Nothobranchius furzeri: one gene and its partner. The protein of the gene in region 2 purifies or fractionates together with the protein of the main gene of each other region. This does not show direct contact. Links are inferred from orthologs where the notes say so. Each region holds a gene or a part of one and is shown on either strand. Other genes may lie near its edges.

Evidence for each region. The genes of interacting proteins can lie anywhere in the genome.
Region 1: the proteins of ss18 (region 2) and bicra purify together in Homo sapiens (affinity purification with mass spectrometry; 3 studies listed by BioGRID and IntAct, counting the BioPlex papers as one, with this or other methods). This does not show direct contact. The link is inferred for Nothobranchius furzeri from reciprocal best matches to the Homo sapiens genes SS18 and BICRA.

Annotation. Positions count from the first base shown.
Region 1 is NC_091753.1:46,785,707-46,793,761, forward strand, and holds the start of bicra (BRD4-interacting chromatin-remodeling complex-associated protein), read right to left. Parts: upstream 4,991-8,055; 5' UTR 4,923-4,990; intron 3,254-4,922; 5' UTR 3,249-3,253; coding exon 3,208-3,248; intron 3,096-3,207; coding exon 3,050-3,095; intron 2,589-3,049; coding exon 2,523-2,588; intron 2,310-2,522; coding exon 249-2,309; intron 54-248; coding exon 1-53. Other genes in the region: napab (N-ethylmaleimide-sensitive factor attachment protein, alpha b), read left to right, coding at 6,313-6,410, 7,082-7,356. UniProt on the Homo sapiens protein: Component of SWI/SNF chromatin remodeling subcomplex GBAF that carries out key enzymatic activities, changing chromatin structure by altering DNA-histone contacts within a nucleosome in an ATP-dependent manner.
Region 2 is NC_091751.1:52,436,143-52,444,433, reverse strand, and holds the start of ss18 (protein SSXT), read right to left. Parts: upstream 4,865-8,291; 5' UTR 4,745-4,864; coding exon 4,679-4,744; intron 4,239-4,678; coding exon 4,162-4,238; intron 4,082-4,161; coding exon 3,991-4,081; intron 3,376-3,990; coding exon 3,219-3,375; intron 2,804-3,218; coding exon 2,573-2,803; intron 1,896-2,572; coding exon 1,725-1,895; intron 1,429-1,724; coding exon 1,351-1,428; intron 1-1,350. Other genes in the region: psma8 (proteasome subunit alpha-type 8), read left to right, coding at 5,500-5,601, 6,412-6,538, 6,676-6,800, 8,014-8,136, 8,260-8,291. UniProt on the Homo sapiens protein: Appears to function synergistically with RBM14 as a transcriptional coactivator. Isoform 1 and isoform 2 function in nuclear receptor coactivation. Isoform 1 and isoform 2 function in general transcriptional coactivation.

The DNA.
Region 1 (8,055 bases), on a different chromosome or scaffold from region 2:
GGTACGCCCACAGAGGGGGTCGACTCATTCTCTGTTTGGTGGTGCCGCTGCTCCTGATGGCCCATTTACCATTTCAGGATGGGGGAGGGAGGAAGGGACGGAGGGAGGGAAGGGGTTGGAAGAACGAGGAGTAAAATAGTAAACCAAAGAAGTCAAACCAAGTTATCACTCCGTGCACGTTATTTATTTTTAAAGACAATGTTAGCTGAGCACATGAGAAGCAAACGAGCAGCGAGTGGAACACTGACCTGCTGTAGGAACATCTGCAGAGACTCCGGGCTCAGAATCATACTCGGGCCCTGGTTGGTGAACAGCAGCCTCCCTGGACTGCTCTGAGTCTGAGGGGGGACCAGCCCCACAGCTGTGACCGAGGAGGAGGTGGACGGAGAGGAGGTGGTCACGGTGGACATAGACGAAACCGGAGGCTGCATGGCGAGGATCGATGTTTGTGGAACGAGTTGTGTAGTGGGATGAGCTGCCTGCTCGGTGGAGCTTCCCAGTACAGTAACAGTTTCTCCAGGCTGGCCTTGAGCTGTGGTTGCTGCTCCTGTGCTGCTGGGGACTCCCCCAGGTGGGGGATGCAGGGCTGGCTGAAGGCTGACTGCAGGGCTCAGTCCCTCCACCTGACTCACCATGGTCAGAGAGTTCTGGATGGGCATGCCCTGTATCACTGTGGGGGCATGACCTGAGGCAGCAGGGGTCTGCGTCTGGCTTTGACTTTGTGCCAGAGAGGCCACAGGCATCTGGAAGAGGGTAGGTGTGCCCATCTGGCCGGGCTGGAGCTGAATGGGTCCAGAGAGGATGTGGGCAGCCCCAGCGTGGCCCTGTGATGTCAACACCTGACCCAAATTAATGTTCTGGTTTGCTGTTAGAATCTGGTTTGCAATGAGCTGTCCACCTGGACCTTGACTGGTTATGATGTGGCCACCAGGATGCTGGGTTAGGATCTGCCCACCTGCCTGTAGCTGGGGCAGGAGGAACTGGTGGTTCTGACCTTGGAGAACCGTTTGAGAGGGAATAACGATGCTGCCTTGTTGGTTTAACAAATGCACACTGAGGGGTTTGCCGGACGGCTGTGCAGCATGTTGCTTGAATAGAGTTTGTTGGAACTGGGGGCCCTGTGTTGCAGCCCGAGTGCTCAACACAACATTAGAACCTGGTTTTCCTGTTAGGAAGGCCACATTCTGAGCAGCAGAAACTGGAATTTGTTGAAGCCCAAGAGCCTTATGGGCATCATTTTGCATGGCCTGGGGAGCTGCTTGTTGGGGCTGCGACTGTTGTTGTGGTTTGAAGAGTTTACTATGAATGGCTCCCCCCTGTGCGGGTTTGGGCTGAATGGGTGTTGGTGTACGCTGGATGATCACGTTCTGCATGATCTGGCCCGGATTTTGCGTTTGTGGTGCCACCCCTGCACTCAGAGGGGTACTTCCAAAGCCGACAAGCCCAGCGGGAGCGGTAATGGTACCACTACCGCTGCTGCTTGTGCTGCTGACACAAACAGCCGGTCCATTTAAAGCTGGAGATCCCAAAGTCGCTTTGTTGCCTTGGATTAGAAGTCCACCTCCCGAGGCTCCAAGTCCTGCCTGAGAACCAGCAGCTGATACCTCCGAACCTGACTGGTGCAGCTGGTATCCACTCATGGCTTTAGCCAAGACTGGCTGCCCAGACTGATTGATAGTCATCACGGTAGGCTGGCCCACAACCTGAATCTGTCCGATACCCAAATGTCCCGACTGACTCCCGTTGGAGAGAGCCTGGAGACTTGAAATGGGCTGAAGAGTCACGTTTCCCAGGCCCACAGGCTGCATAAATGGCTGAACGCTAATAGCTTTGTTCATAACCTGGGACTGGAGCTGAAGGCCCTGCTGAGCGAGCACTGAACCAAGCATGTCAGCTGTGGCGTTGGGGGGAGTAGCCGTGGTGCTCGGGGCAGACCCGGGAAAAATCGTCGCAGCTCCACCGACGCCAATGCCTACACCAACAGGTGTGCCTCCAGCTCCAGCGAGGCTGGCATCAGGCAGTGCCTGAACCACCTGTGCAAGGCCTGGAATTCCAAAGGTATCCAGGTCCAGCTCGGCACCTGCCTCCTGCAGGCTTTGCTCTGTGATGTTGGCCTCAGCCAAACTCTGCTGCAAGATGTCGCATGTCTCGTGATTTGTCCCAATGCCATTGCTACCACCTTCTCCACCTGGAGATCCACCCAAGATGTCATCATCCTCAAGGAAGTCCAGGTCAACGCTGACTCTCGGCAGGCCTGCTGATTCGCTGGCCGACAGCTGGACTGCAGGCTGGACCTCTGGAACATGTCCCTTTAAAAAAGAAAAAGTGAAACCAGACATGATAGCGAGGAACATGACTGATTGGAAACAAAAACAAAAGCCCAATAAAACATCTCGTACAATTGCAGCGAATTATAGCATGTTGACTGTAGATCTGTTAGTGGAAAAGGGAGGGATTTAGGGAAGCATGCAACAAAGATGGATGGACAACAGCAGGAAAAAAAAGTGGGGGGCTTTACTCACCCCAGTGGCAGAGAAGAACGAGCTGGAGGGGTCACTCGAACCATCCAAAAGGTCGTCAGTGTCCAACTACAGACACACCCACCAAGGGTAAGACAGACAGAAACCAAAGACACCCAAACCAGCAGGCAAAAAAGTCACCAGGACAAACATACAGACCATCAAAACAGAGGGAGGGCAAGGCAAGGGCAGAACATGGTTCAGAGAACCCAGAACGTAAAGCATCAGTAAAGAGATAAGCTACAGAGGAACAAAATGACAGGAATAACTCAAGAGTTGGGAAACGTTAGTAATAGGAATTATTGTTCTGGCAACCCAAATGCAACCATTAGGCAGAGGAGTTATAAAAAGTTTAATGAGAGCAGTGAGGGATGCAGGTTACAGGGTGTATCAACTTGTGAGCCGAAACTGATTTTATTAGAGATGCAAAAGCAACAAAGATAAAACCTGAACAAGTCACTCATCAGTGGAGAACTTGTATCGTGAAGCTTTGCTAAATGCGGCCATTTGTTAGCCCTTCTCATACTTACATGGGTCTCAGATCCATGAAGAAAGTCATTAAGAGCTTCTGGGTCGCTGATGGAGAAAACAACAGATGTGTGACACAATGACACATAACCGAACAATCTGATATAAAATTTCCTACAATACTAGAATCAGGTCTTTCACGCTGTCAGAACATACTTACCAAATTACATCTAGAAGGCACCTGCCGTCTTCATCATCCATGACAACTGTTGAGATGAAAAACACCTTCAAGCTCGGTCATGACTTGTTCAACAATCACAACCAAAATACTCAGTTACATTTTGTATAACATGGTTATTAAGAATTACATGGGGTTTGTCTTAGGTTTAACTTCATAATTATTCTTGACTTTCTCAAACCACATGCTGACTAAATTTTAAACGACATTTTCATATTTACTCCAGCAAAACTCGAGCCATTAAAGACATGTAGATGCAAGATAAAGACTGACTTTCAAAAAGTCTTGAGCCACCGATACAGGCATTTAAACAATCCAAGCGAATAATTACAAATATTGTTAAGTGGCAGTTTTTTGCAGTAAGAGATGGCATGGCACACACCCCAAAAACATCCGGGTAATTATTCAGTAATCATCTGTGTCTTCTTTTGAAGAAAGAGTTCTTTAGTGGAAGTGAGTCTTTCCCTTTAGACATAGGTTTTTTTATTTCCTCCCTGATGGTAAAAAGCTATGAGAAGTCTCCATAGGCCAGCAACAAACTCTTTCTGACTTATGAATAAATGTTTGACAGCAAGAAACGTTCAAAACAATGAAAAAATGTATTCATATACTTTATACACAAATTTTTTCTTTGGAAAAAAATCTTAAAGACCACTCAATGCTATCAGGCATTTAGTTTATATTAAAAACTATGAATCAACATAGAAAGTAATTCTGAGTTCCTAAAAAACGAAAACTGTCTAACCTAGCGTTTGATTATCAATATCAATTACAAAGCGAGATTTTTCCCCATGTACGCTCGGTATCAAACAACCTTGGTGCGGCCCTGAACTCATCGAGACACGTAACAAAACTTAAAATTTCTGAACACGATCAAACAGCAGACAACAAACTGAAAACGCGCGGTTTTCGCACCGCCTGGAAAGATTTTGAGCGTAAGCTGTCGCTGACTTTTAACCGTGCACAGCTCGTCCAACAACACGAAAACCAAACCAACACAGTTTCTATGCAAATAAATTGTGGACATGATGCAGGAGTCCCAGCTGTCCGCCGATCGCAGCTCGGTTACAGAAAACCAGTGCGCAGGATATGAATGGAGACGCTGCAAACGGAATGCTAGATGCTAGCTGATGTTTTTAATGAGCTTTGCATGCATACCTCAACAAATTCCCCCAACGTACAGTATCTGACAGCAACACAGCTGACCTACGACTCAAATGTTTGAAATTAAAACAGTTTCATCCGTAATTTCAGCAATTTGGGTGCTTTTGGGTTGACTTTCGTTAGCCTAGCAAGCTACCCCCGCTATCAACAATATTCAGACGTATAGCTAGCTCGAGCCTTTGACATTCAAAACAAACCAGAGTGACACAATTTTAACACAAATTACGCACAGCGGCAGTCCGGTTGAGCTAAAACGAAGAAATGCTGTCTGCTTATAGTCGTAAACGCAACTACGTGGCGAGCTATTGCTAATTGCAAGCAGAATATCAGTAAATGTTGGAATACTCTTGGATGAGAGGGGGTATGCTTGGGAATTCGTTGGAAAACGAGCCTGTTTACGGTGTGATGCGGCAGTGTGTCGCTTCTTTTGCGGTAGCAGTGCGGTTCGTGTCTGCTGAACAGTTAGCAGATATCGCAGCTTTGTAGCGGATATTGGGATTAATGGAGAAATTGTTACATTGTAACAAACTCACCCGAGACGTTAGAGGTGCAGGCAGCGCGGGGTCTCCAGGACAGCCTCGCACGGGCTGCTCAACAGGACCCAACTACTGGCAGGAAACGGCAGACTTCCGCTCTGCCTGATTGAAATCCATGTTGTTTATCGAGACTTTCTTTACACACAAATACCCATTCGGAACATTAAACGGTTTTTGAACATTTTTGTTGTGTTAATTAGTGCATTCTTAAATTTGACATATTCTTCATGTTAACTTGTTTTCATTTTTAAAACTCAAAAAACATCAATAGAAAGGCAGGAACAGCAGAGGAAGCCTGTGGGGAGAAATTGCTTAAAATGAAATCATAAAAGAAACTGGATCACAAATGTAAAAAAATATAAAAGCAGTCATGTTAACAAATGCCAGCAGATTTGTTAGATAAATGCAACCCAGTCTTGAACTGCAATCAGATTATATGATTTTGGCTAAGAAAAGAACAAACTAATCTACAAAAAGCCTAAGCAAAATACTGTAACATAATCTACAAGAAAACATTCCTTTTCCATATTTTAAATAATTTTTGTATAGTTCTAAAATACGTGATTATTTTTGTAAATTTTAAAAAGGTATTTGAATGTTTGACTCATGTAGTTACCTACCACAACCCATAGCCCTAAAATATGTTTGTCATGTATTTTTCAACAAAATATTTTACACACATTTAATTCACTGTGCTATAATGCAAAGCCTGGAAAACCACTTAACATAGTTGTTATCTATTATTTATGTTAAAATTGTAAAGATTTCAGCTGACAAACAGTTTCATTATGATGCTAACCCATTTTGATTAAAAATGTCTCTTTATAATGGAACTGGCATTGACTAAAGGAAAGCATTTTCTTATTATAATTCTAATCAATATTCCTTTAAAACTGCACTTTTGAAGATATTTACGCTATTACGTTTTATTACAACATTTATGCTTAAATATTGTCACCTTTAATGTCTGATTGCTTATAGAAAAATAATTGGCTGTTGAAAACAGATAACACAAGGGAACTGTTTTATATAGATTGTCATGAACGCACTGTAATGATCCTGAGACAGATTAGAAGCGATTCCTTTGTTTCTACAGCAAATATTAACAACGAACATGTTTCTTAATTAAATTATCGATTGATATATTGTGTTGCAGCATGGTCTACAATCAGTTTATAACATGAAACATTATAGATTTGTAATGGACCAACTCTGGACCGTACGAGCAGCACCTGAAGGCAGCAGGGCTGTGACCGCCCTCCCATTGTCACGTGACAGAGAAAGCGCTGGCTGCTGATGTGACACTGCTGTTAGCAATACTTAGCAACTTTGTTGACTTTAGTATTTTTTCGCCCCCCTTTAGATTCAGAAAAACAAGTAAAGCAGAATGGATAACAGTGGGAAAGAAAAAGAAGCTACAGCTTTAATGGCGGAGGCGGAGAAGAAAGTTAAATCATCTCAGTCGTTTTTCGGGTCGCTGTTTGGGTGAGTTTTAGTTAGCTGATGTTTAGCTTCTGCTTTCAAGCTGAGGGCCAGCTATGCGGAAGGTGACCACCTAACACCAGGGCTGATGGCTGGGCACAACAGGACTGGAGCTGCTGTTAAGATGTTGTGGTATTGAGAGTATTTGTCTACGGACGTAAGGTTATTTCCCCGGATTTCTGCTGACCATAACGTCTGCAAACAACAAAGACTAACACGTAGCCGTTTATCCCAGTAAACTGAGAAAAATTACACTGAACAAACCGTTGTTTGACATGGACGATAACAGAATACTAAATTCGTTTTTATTTAAGTATGACTGTAAAAAAATATTTTTTTAAAAAGTGTGATCACATTAGCTCTGCTGTAGCACCATCTGCTGGCTGTTCCGTATTGTGCAAATCGTCACAATGTTTACAGTAGAAACCTCAAAGTTGTATCAAATCTAATGAAAATTATTTATTGATATTTGCCTTTTGCCATAAAAATGTTGGTGCGGAAATATTGTCATTATTGGACAACAATCTCAACAGATGAAATACTATCTACTATTTTTATTTTGAAAAGTAATTACTTATTATCCAGTCTTGTTTATTGCATTTACACGATCCTAACCTGCTAATAACCAGTATCTTATAGTTGTTGTTTTTTTACACGTTTTTTCTTTCACACAGGAGCTCCTCCAAGCTGGAAGAGGCCTGTGATCTGTATGTGAGGGCAGCCAACATGTACAAAATGGCCAAAAACTGGTGTGGTAAGAGGACAGTTACTTTCCCTTCCTTGTGCATATCTGTTGATATGTTTTATCTTTTAATTTGTGTTTTCTTTTCAGCTGCAGGAAATGCGTTTGCTCAGGCTGCTCATCTTCACCTGCAAATGCAGAGTAAACACGATGCAGCAACTAATCTCATAGATGCTGGAAATGCCTTCAAAAAAGCAGATCCACAAGGTAAGAGGTCACTCAATTTTACATGGAGCTCTTTGTAAAAGGTTTTAAAATCTGGAAGGAAATACATTTTTGGACTTTTTAAAATTAACTTCATATAAAGTGCAGCCAATCTAATTAATACCTGGTTTGGCAGCAAGTTTGATCCCATGACTGTGTACACTTATCTACAGTCTTTAGTTTACCCCATACTAGCTTAGTTCCAAGCATCTTGTGTGTCTGAAATTTAGCTGTCTTCTATAGACTTACCCCTGATCGAGACTCTTTATTTTTAAAACTAAGGGTAGTTTTTATACATGCAGATTTTGAACAACATCAATGCCTGTTTGCAGCAGTTTATTTGTGCCTGTGCAGGTGGCACAACTCAAAACTAAATGTGATATAAGTAAGATGAAACGTCAAAGACAAATACCAGGAATTCTTGAGCAGTCAGAAATGTTAAACTCCTCAACCTGTGCAGAAGTTTCTGGGTAAGCCTGATTCTGATGTTTAGGGTAAATGTTTCCTACAGAAGTGCATTTAAAGACCAAGTTCACTGAGAAACTTTTTTTTACTTATTATTATGTAAATATGATTGGAAGCTCTGAGTTTTGTGTACAGGCTGAACGTGAAAAAAGTCTTCTACCCATATTTCCTGCATTAGTCGCCCATAGAAAATAGATGGGGAAATGTTTGAGTTAGAAAGTACAGTCAGCTCTACAT
Region 2 (8,291 bases):
AGAAAATGAACATGCAGACTGTATTGCAAAAACTGAAAAAATTAACAAAGTAGCATGTAAAATAAGTATGAGCCATCTAGAGCCTAAAATCCCCAGAATGCATTGCAGAAACTGAAATGTTTTGCTTTGTCGAAGCTAGGGTTGTCATGGTGTGAAAATTTAACCTCACGGTTATTGTGACCAAAATTACCATGGTTTTCGGTATTATCGCGGTATTTTTTTTTAAACGTGCTACATTTTCACACAATTTAATAAACCCTGTATATCAGGAGATATTGTCCTCAGTTTGTCTAAATTTTGCTTAAAATGTGTTATTTTGTAATTATGTTGTTTATTTGTTTACATATTTCCCCTTTAGTCTTTAAAATACCAATATTTGCCCATATCTTCTTATTTTGTCTGTTTGATGTCATCATTTTAAAAATATTAGATCAGATGATACTCAGTACTCAAGTAGCCTTCTAATCAGATACTTTTTTACCCTTACTTGAGTAATAAACCGTATATCAGGAAAATATTGTCCTCGGTTTGTGTCCTTCCAGTGAGCTTTGCAGATGTGGGAAAATGTCATCAGGCAGTAATCATTGTTAAATTCTTAATTATTCTCGGAGAGAGACCAACTCTTATCTGCCCCTGGGAGCCCTGTAATGCATAGCGTCATTTCAACATGGGGTGTCCGTGACACGGTTTATATGCAGGTAGCGGCGCTGCGGCTGCTTTGTATAGCGACTCGTTGCATTCTCCCTCAACCCAAATCCTCGGATCACGCATTCTAGCTAAAACGCTAACGTTAGCTTGCCTTGCGTTGACTGTAGAGTTGCGGGAGATGGTCACGCAGATGTGTCATGAGATTTGAAGCGTTGCTGCCTTTCACAGACACTTTTTCTGCACGTGCTGCAAACAGGATAGCCGTCTTCTATCAACTGTCCCTCGGCATTCTTCAAATATCCAAAAGATGCCCGTACTTCCCACTTTGTCTTCTTTGAGGGATAAAAAATGTCCTCCTGAGCGCTGCCGTCTCCTCCTTTGACCATTATTTCAGCTTTAGCTTCAAGAAAGTTTTGGTTGTAAACAACAAAGCGCGCATGTGCCGCCAGCAACTTCAGCAGATGATACGGTGGCTGGTAAGGGTCACCGCGCCTACACCACAGCCACGGTAATCCACCGAGATAATATCGTTTTTTTTTTAAAAACAAGACGGTTATTATTATTGTCAACTTTTTACCAGGGTTTACCGCTACACCGGTTACCGTGACAACCCTAGTCGAAGCATCGTTTTTGTGTTTTGACTCAACTCCTGGGTTGACTGATTGTCTGTGTTCTCCCAAGTGACTTGCAGGGTTCTCCTACCTTCTGAGGCGCCCTGTCCTGCGTGACTGTACTGGTCGCCATAGTAGTCTTCCTGCCCTGGATACTGCTGGGGGGGTCCTACATACAACATACACACATGTAGATTCAAGGTGCTGTTGCTGTGTAAGGGGGGAGGAGAGGGTAGAGGGGATAGACTCCTTGCTTCTAGTTCATCTTAAAGGAGCTTTCCCTTTGTCACAACTAATTTTACACGGGATTTTGGATTAAACCGTTACTGAACAAGTTGTCTGCAGTCTACAGAAGATGAAATAGAAACAGACTGGGAGGAACAAGAGTGAGAAACACAGGAGGGAAAAGGAGAAGGAAGACCGACACTCTGCTTGGATGTGGAACTGACACACTGAGTGGTTTACCTTGCTGTGGAGGTCTGTAGGGCGGCATTGGCCTCTGCCCCATGACGTGGTTCCCTTGGTTGACCTGACCCATCATACCCATTGGGGTCTGTTGGCCTTGGTAGTGCTGTCCACCACCACCAGGGGGCATGTTGTACTGCTGCGATGGAGGCTGCTGATGCATCACCGGACCTGTCGAACACAACCATGCCCCACAGTGACTTAAACGTGTTGAACTCTTGTTCAATACATTTGCAGTGGTCTCTACTAGGAATGAATGTCTTAAGTAAGTCATACTCTGGGAGTGGGAGGAGGACCCAGATGCGTCTGAACCAGGAAGCTGGAGGAGAAAGTAGCTTCAGATGGCAGGTTTTGGAGACTTATTTCCTGATTTTTGGACATCTCGTTTCTACTTGGTTAACAGCAAAGCAATTCTAACACTGACTCAGTTTGCTCTGCAACTTTTATGTTTCATCTCCACAAATAACAAATGCCTAGAGTAGTTCTGCCATGTGGCAGAGTTGCTAATGCTAATGGTTAGCTTCTACCAGTCGAGATGTTCTCTGCCGTTTCTTAAACGCCAAACCTAACCAACAACGGCCTTCCTCGTCACAAGCCAAGATGAGAGAGTCCATGAATGTTAAGTGGCAGTGTGATGTAGATCTGTCAGGCTTTTCAAATCCTAGAGTTTCACCGTCTATTTTCTATCATAAGTTAGTCCAGGAGATAGGTGTAGGTGACAGACTCAGAGTGACCGATTATAATCCGAAATAATAATTTAAAATGGTTTTTATCAGTGTTTAATAAATTCCTTTCATTGTAAATCTAACCAGTAATTGACTATAAAAAATGGGAATGCCTCGTTTCACCTTGATTGGGCTGCATGTTCATGTTTGGTCGAGGACCGTAGTTTCCCATAGGTTGGCCTTGGGTCATGTTCATTTGATTCTGAGCTGGCATGCCTTGGGAAGAAGGAACTGCGTGATTGTAGCCACCCATGGAGCCATGGCTGCTGGGAGGCATGTTCATTGAGCCACTGGGCATGTTTGGAGGCTGGTTGGGTCCTGGACCAGGACCTTGCATGGGCATGTGATTAGGTCCTGAAAAACATCAGTGAACAATACATGTTAGATAACAAAAGTTAAAATATAAATGTTTTTTTTTGTGCGCTGAAGTAGACTCACTGATGGAGATCCACTACATTTTTAAGTTGCTATAGGACAGGCCAGTAGATTCCATGTGAAACAAATATCTGCTTTAAATGATATAGTCATAAAATAATCCCCAATTCAATGCATTCATAAACTATGGTGCGTCAGTAAAGCATAACCAGAATAAAAGAGAGTAAGTCCAAGACCACCATAGCAGACAAAAGGGTGACATCATCCTTCAGCAAAAAAGGACCTCCCTTAGTCCTGTGCTGTTGCTAGGCAACACAAGCAAGACAGAAACTGATGGAAGGAGAATGAGAAAACAGAGAAAGACAAGGAACAGGGGATTTAGATAATGAATTACCAGGCATCTGTCCATTCATCTGATTCTGCATATGAGGGGCTGGAGGGCCACCGCTGACCATACCCTCAGATGGCATGTTGTGACCATGTGGGGGCTGAGGAGAGGGTCCACTTTGGTTCATTCCACCAGGGCCCATGGGCATGTTTTGAGTGGGTGGCTGTAGGAGAATGAGACATAAGACAAAAATACACATCAGATGTCTAAAAACACACCTGCGCCTGAGAAACAAGGACATGACACAGAAAAAATGCAATTCAATTCTAATTCATCTGTCGAAACGTTAAGAATGCGCTTAAATGAAATCTAATTGATTAGAATACAAAATCGAAGTAAAAATCCTAGAAGTTGGATAGTATTTTTTAGCCAATTTTGCATTAGTGGTATTTAGTCATTTTGCAACAAAACAAGCAAAAACAATTTTAGCTGCTTCAGTGAACATTGTGTATGCAGTGTAGTACTTAACAGTACACATTAAAAGTATTCTGCTGCAAACATGTTCACCACTTTCTAAAAAGTGATGTGATAATGTTAACAAGCAACAACCCTTTACAGCCAGTAAGTGGGAGTTATTAGTGCAATTATACCCTGATGAATAAAATAAAAAGACAAAAAACAAGCACTGTTTCAAAGTAAAAAATAAATAAATAAAAGTTTCAAAATAAGACATGCATTGTGTGAGTCATGGAGGAGCTCATCTGCTGTATAAATTCAGCTATTTAAAAGGATATTAGTTATAACACTCACTAAACGATCAATCAGAACCAGTACTCACAGCAGGGAGGAGAGACTGCACGTTCACGTTCTGATTTGAGTCTGCTATCGTGGCCAGATACACTAAATTTCTGTGCAGCATCTGTTGATACCTGGGTAAATTGAAGGTAATTAACATCGCACATACAATTACTGAAAAAATAAAGATATATGTAAAAAAAACAGAACTCACTGTGAACATTCTGCCGTTTTGCCTTTACTCTGGAAGTCCATTATACACTGGATCAGCTGGTTGTTTTCATCAAGTAACTACAAAAGTAAATGCAGGTGTTTTGGTCACATTGGTGTCACTTCTGATAACATTAGGGCTTATTTTTCTAAAATGTGTGACGTTGTATTATTTCGCGAGGTTAGTGTAGAGTTTTTTGTTTAAACTTGACAACAAAGGGGGGTGTTTTGTTAATGTGAGCGTGCGTTTCTAGCTAACAAAAGACGCGACTTGCAGGCTAGCTATCTTCTGCTAATCAAACCGAGGGCCTCCATTCATCTAGCAATCGACATAAAGTTCACCATGAACACATGGCGTCTGGATTTAGGGAGGTTCATATTGACCGCGCTTAGACCGCATAGCATTGTTTCCAATCTGCCCACAGTTGGACTTGGACTGGCACTGCTACATTAGCAATCAACGGTTAGCAGCCTTCGCTAGCACAGCCTCCATAATGCGCCGCGCTAAAAAGATGAATTACCTTTTGTATCCCAGCGGGTGTTATATCACCCTTCCGTTGCCTGTGAGGTGCAAATGCCACCGACATGGTGATAATATTACAAACGAAAGCAAACTAAAGCATAAAAGCTTAAATTAGCTCACAAGCAAAACAAATCGGTAGAACTGTTAATCACACAGCAGCTCTGAATACGGTGTAATTTCATAATGCAGTGGCCCGTTTAGGGGTGGGGAGATATCAGGGAATTTTAACGTTAAGTCTTTTACTGTCACTTAACTCGATTATTTACTAAATATCGAAGTTCGTATTAAATCTAGTGAGAAAATTGTCAAGAAAATATGTCATATTGTCGTCAAAAACGCATTTTTACTGCTTCACAGAATTACGATTCCACCTATTTTTCATATAATGGAACAGTCTGCAGCTAGACTGAAACACCACGGGGCAGCAGGAACTACACAGCAAAAAGAGGGGAAAAAAGAATAACAGCGATAATTATGATATAAACGAATTGATAAGTAATACAAATAGCATTTTATATACACCCATATTTCACACTGGAAAGCAAGAAATAATGCGTATTTAGTATTTTTTTTATTTAACATATTTCTTCCATATCTATTTTTAACAGCACAATTATCATCAAACTCGTGTTTTTATCACAATTTTTCTTTGGCGGAAATGCGGGACCCACTTTTGGTACATCGCAGTTTAAAGGTTACGCGCATGCGCTGATTTGTGAACGCAAAACGAGTGAGCGGCTATTTGCTAACTAGCTGAATCATCTGGTTGAGGTTGCTCTGTTTCCTTTATTCGTTTGATTGGGATTGTCTTGCAGTGCAATGGCGGCAAGATATGATAGAGCTATCACTGTCTTTTCTCCCGACGGCCACCTGTTTCAAGTGGAGTATGCACAAGAAGCTGTAAAGAAAGGCTCTACAGCGGTACGTCTTTAAATGAAAATAATGCAAAAGCTAACGTGGCTAGCTAACCGCTAGCGGGCAGCTACTAGCTCTTTAGATGATGTATTCATTTTATTTCCTCAATTTAACAAGCTTAACTTTTTGTGACCTGTTTATAGTTTTAGACTGTAAGTGTATAATTTTGTTAACGCTTAATATAAAGTTAACGAAGGGGAAAAGCGCACGCCATGGCTAGCATTTAGTCGCTGTGTCACTCAATTACTTTCAGTTTTGATCCGCTATTGTCAAGTTTCAGCGGTACGGAGAAATAGATTCACGGTGTCGATTGAATTAGTAGAAACAAAGTTAGGCTACGGATTAAAGGTTATAAGTGAACAAAATCATTGCTTTTCTGTGTTTTTGTAAGGATCTGTTTTGCTAGCATAAAGTAGCTCAAACTTGACACTGTAGCGACACCATACCTGACTATTAAAGTATCAATGCTGTTACAGTGTAACTTAGTGGCTTTTGTTGGAAGTGCACGGCATCTAATAATAACCTTTTCAATTGGGGTTCAGTTGAAGCTGTGTCGATGCACAAAACATATTCTTGATGAGCACTTTTACATTTGCAATAGGAGAGGCAGACCCTCTAAATAAGCATGGCTTAAATAGAAAACTACTTGGCTTAATAAAACTTTAGATTTAATTAAATTAAGCTGCATAGTGATTTATTCATTACAACAAGGCCTTAATTTAACAATCATGTTTATTTAGAGTATTTTGTGTTGCTGTAAATTAATCCAAATGTATATTTGTCAAATGTAAAATTCAATTATTTCATTCTGTTTAGGTGGGAATCAGGGGTAAAGACATTGTTGTCCTCGGTGTGGAGAAGAAATCTGTGGCAAAGTTGCAGGAGGAAAGGACTGTTCGTAAGATATGTGCCCTGGATGAACACGTCTGCATGGCATTTGCAGGTACCAAAAACAAGTCATTATTGAAACGGCAAAAAAAAAATAACTTCTACTTAAAACATATTATATGCAATCATTTGTCAGTTGGAAATCTTTTAATTTTCATTTGCCTTTTGCCAATGTTTACATTTTGGTTTTAGGTCTGACGGCAGATGCCCGTATCGTGATAAACAGAGCTCGGGTTGAGTGCCAGAGCCACAGGCTAACGGTTGAGGACCCAGTCACAGTGGAATACATCACACGATACATAGCAACACTGAAACAAGTGAGTTATTGTTTTACACTTATATCTCAATCTTAATTTGTGTAAAGAAGTCCTCAAACTTTCATGTTCATAGGAAATGATGCTTTCTTGTGTATTTTTTTCTGTCTTATTAAAGATTCATGTTTTAATGACACATTTAAATGCTTGGAATTTCACACACTTTGGTTTGAATAAAAAAAAGCTTTTAAGTTGAGAGCCAAAGTCCAGTTGGCTTTGTGTTATTCTCCTAATTTAAAGCTGTTATAATAAATCTGCAAGCAAGCTAGAATTTGAATGCTAACAGTCACGTGACACTCCCCTTGGGTATATTCCCTGAGACACTTCTGTTGGAACTGGAAACCCATGTTGCCAGAAGAAATGAGATGAGAAACACCAGTTGCCATTTTCAGAGTCCAAATGTCCTTTGTTGTCCATGACTTCAAATGTGTTTTTCTTTTTGGGACTCTGGTAATTTGTGCTAAAGTTTAAGTGATAGCAGCGGGCTGTTTCTCCACTGATATTAAGGAGTGGAGAACCTCTCACACCAGTGGTGTTCTGTTGCAAAATGTACGAGTGGAGCACCTAGGGAAGTGCGCCGGTTCTGTGACACCAACAGCCGAATGGACCATATATATATGGCTATATATATATATATATATATATATATATATATATATATATATATATATATATACTCTGTTCGATCCTGCTTCTTCCAGCTTCGTCGCCTTGCCCGACTAAAGCCCATTCTTAAGAGGCCACACTTAGAATCAGCGTGCGTTCGCCTTTGCAGCTCCAAGACTTTGGAACGCACTTCCTCTGGTGGTACACCAGGCTTCTTCACTGGCACAGTTTAAATCCAGCCTGAAGACATATTTTTAATTTGGCTTTTGGTCAATGATCGGTCTTTTATGCTGTGACTCTTCTGTTTTACTGACTTCTGTTTTTATTGACTTCTCTTTTATTGGCTGTTTTATACATTTGTATTGTTTTTAGGTGTTTCTATTTTATGACAGCTTTTATCTGTGTTTAATGTGTATGTATGTGTATTTTGAATGGCTTTTTAGGTTTAACTCTGTGCAGTGCTTTGGTCAGCTGACATGCTGTTTTTAAATGCGCTATATAAATAAATTGGATTGGATTAGCTATACCATGTTTGGATGTTAAAAATGTTTTAAGCTACTTTGTTTTCAAAATTTTCCATTGTAGATTTAATGTTTTGTTATATTTGTAGCGCTATACGCAAAGCAATGGCCGCAGACCATTTGGAATCTCTGCGTTAATCGTTGGCTTTGACTATGATGGAACTCCCAGGTTGTATCAGACAGATCCATCAGGAACATACCATGCGTGGAAGGTCAGCAATTTCCTGTGTGCACATTTTACTTTTTTTGTAGTACTTTAGCGATTGTTATCAATTGTCTAGAAAAAAAACTACTAATTGATTTTTTTGTTGTTTTTTAATTATGAAAAAAATCAGGCAAATGCAATCGGCCGTAGTGCAAAAACTGT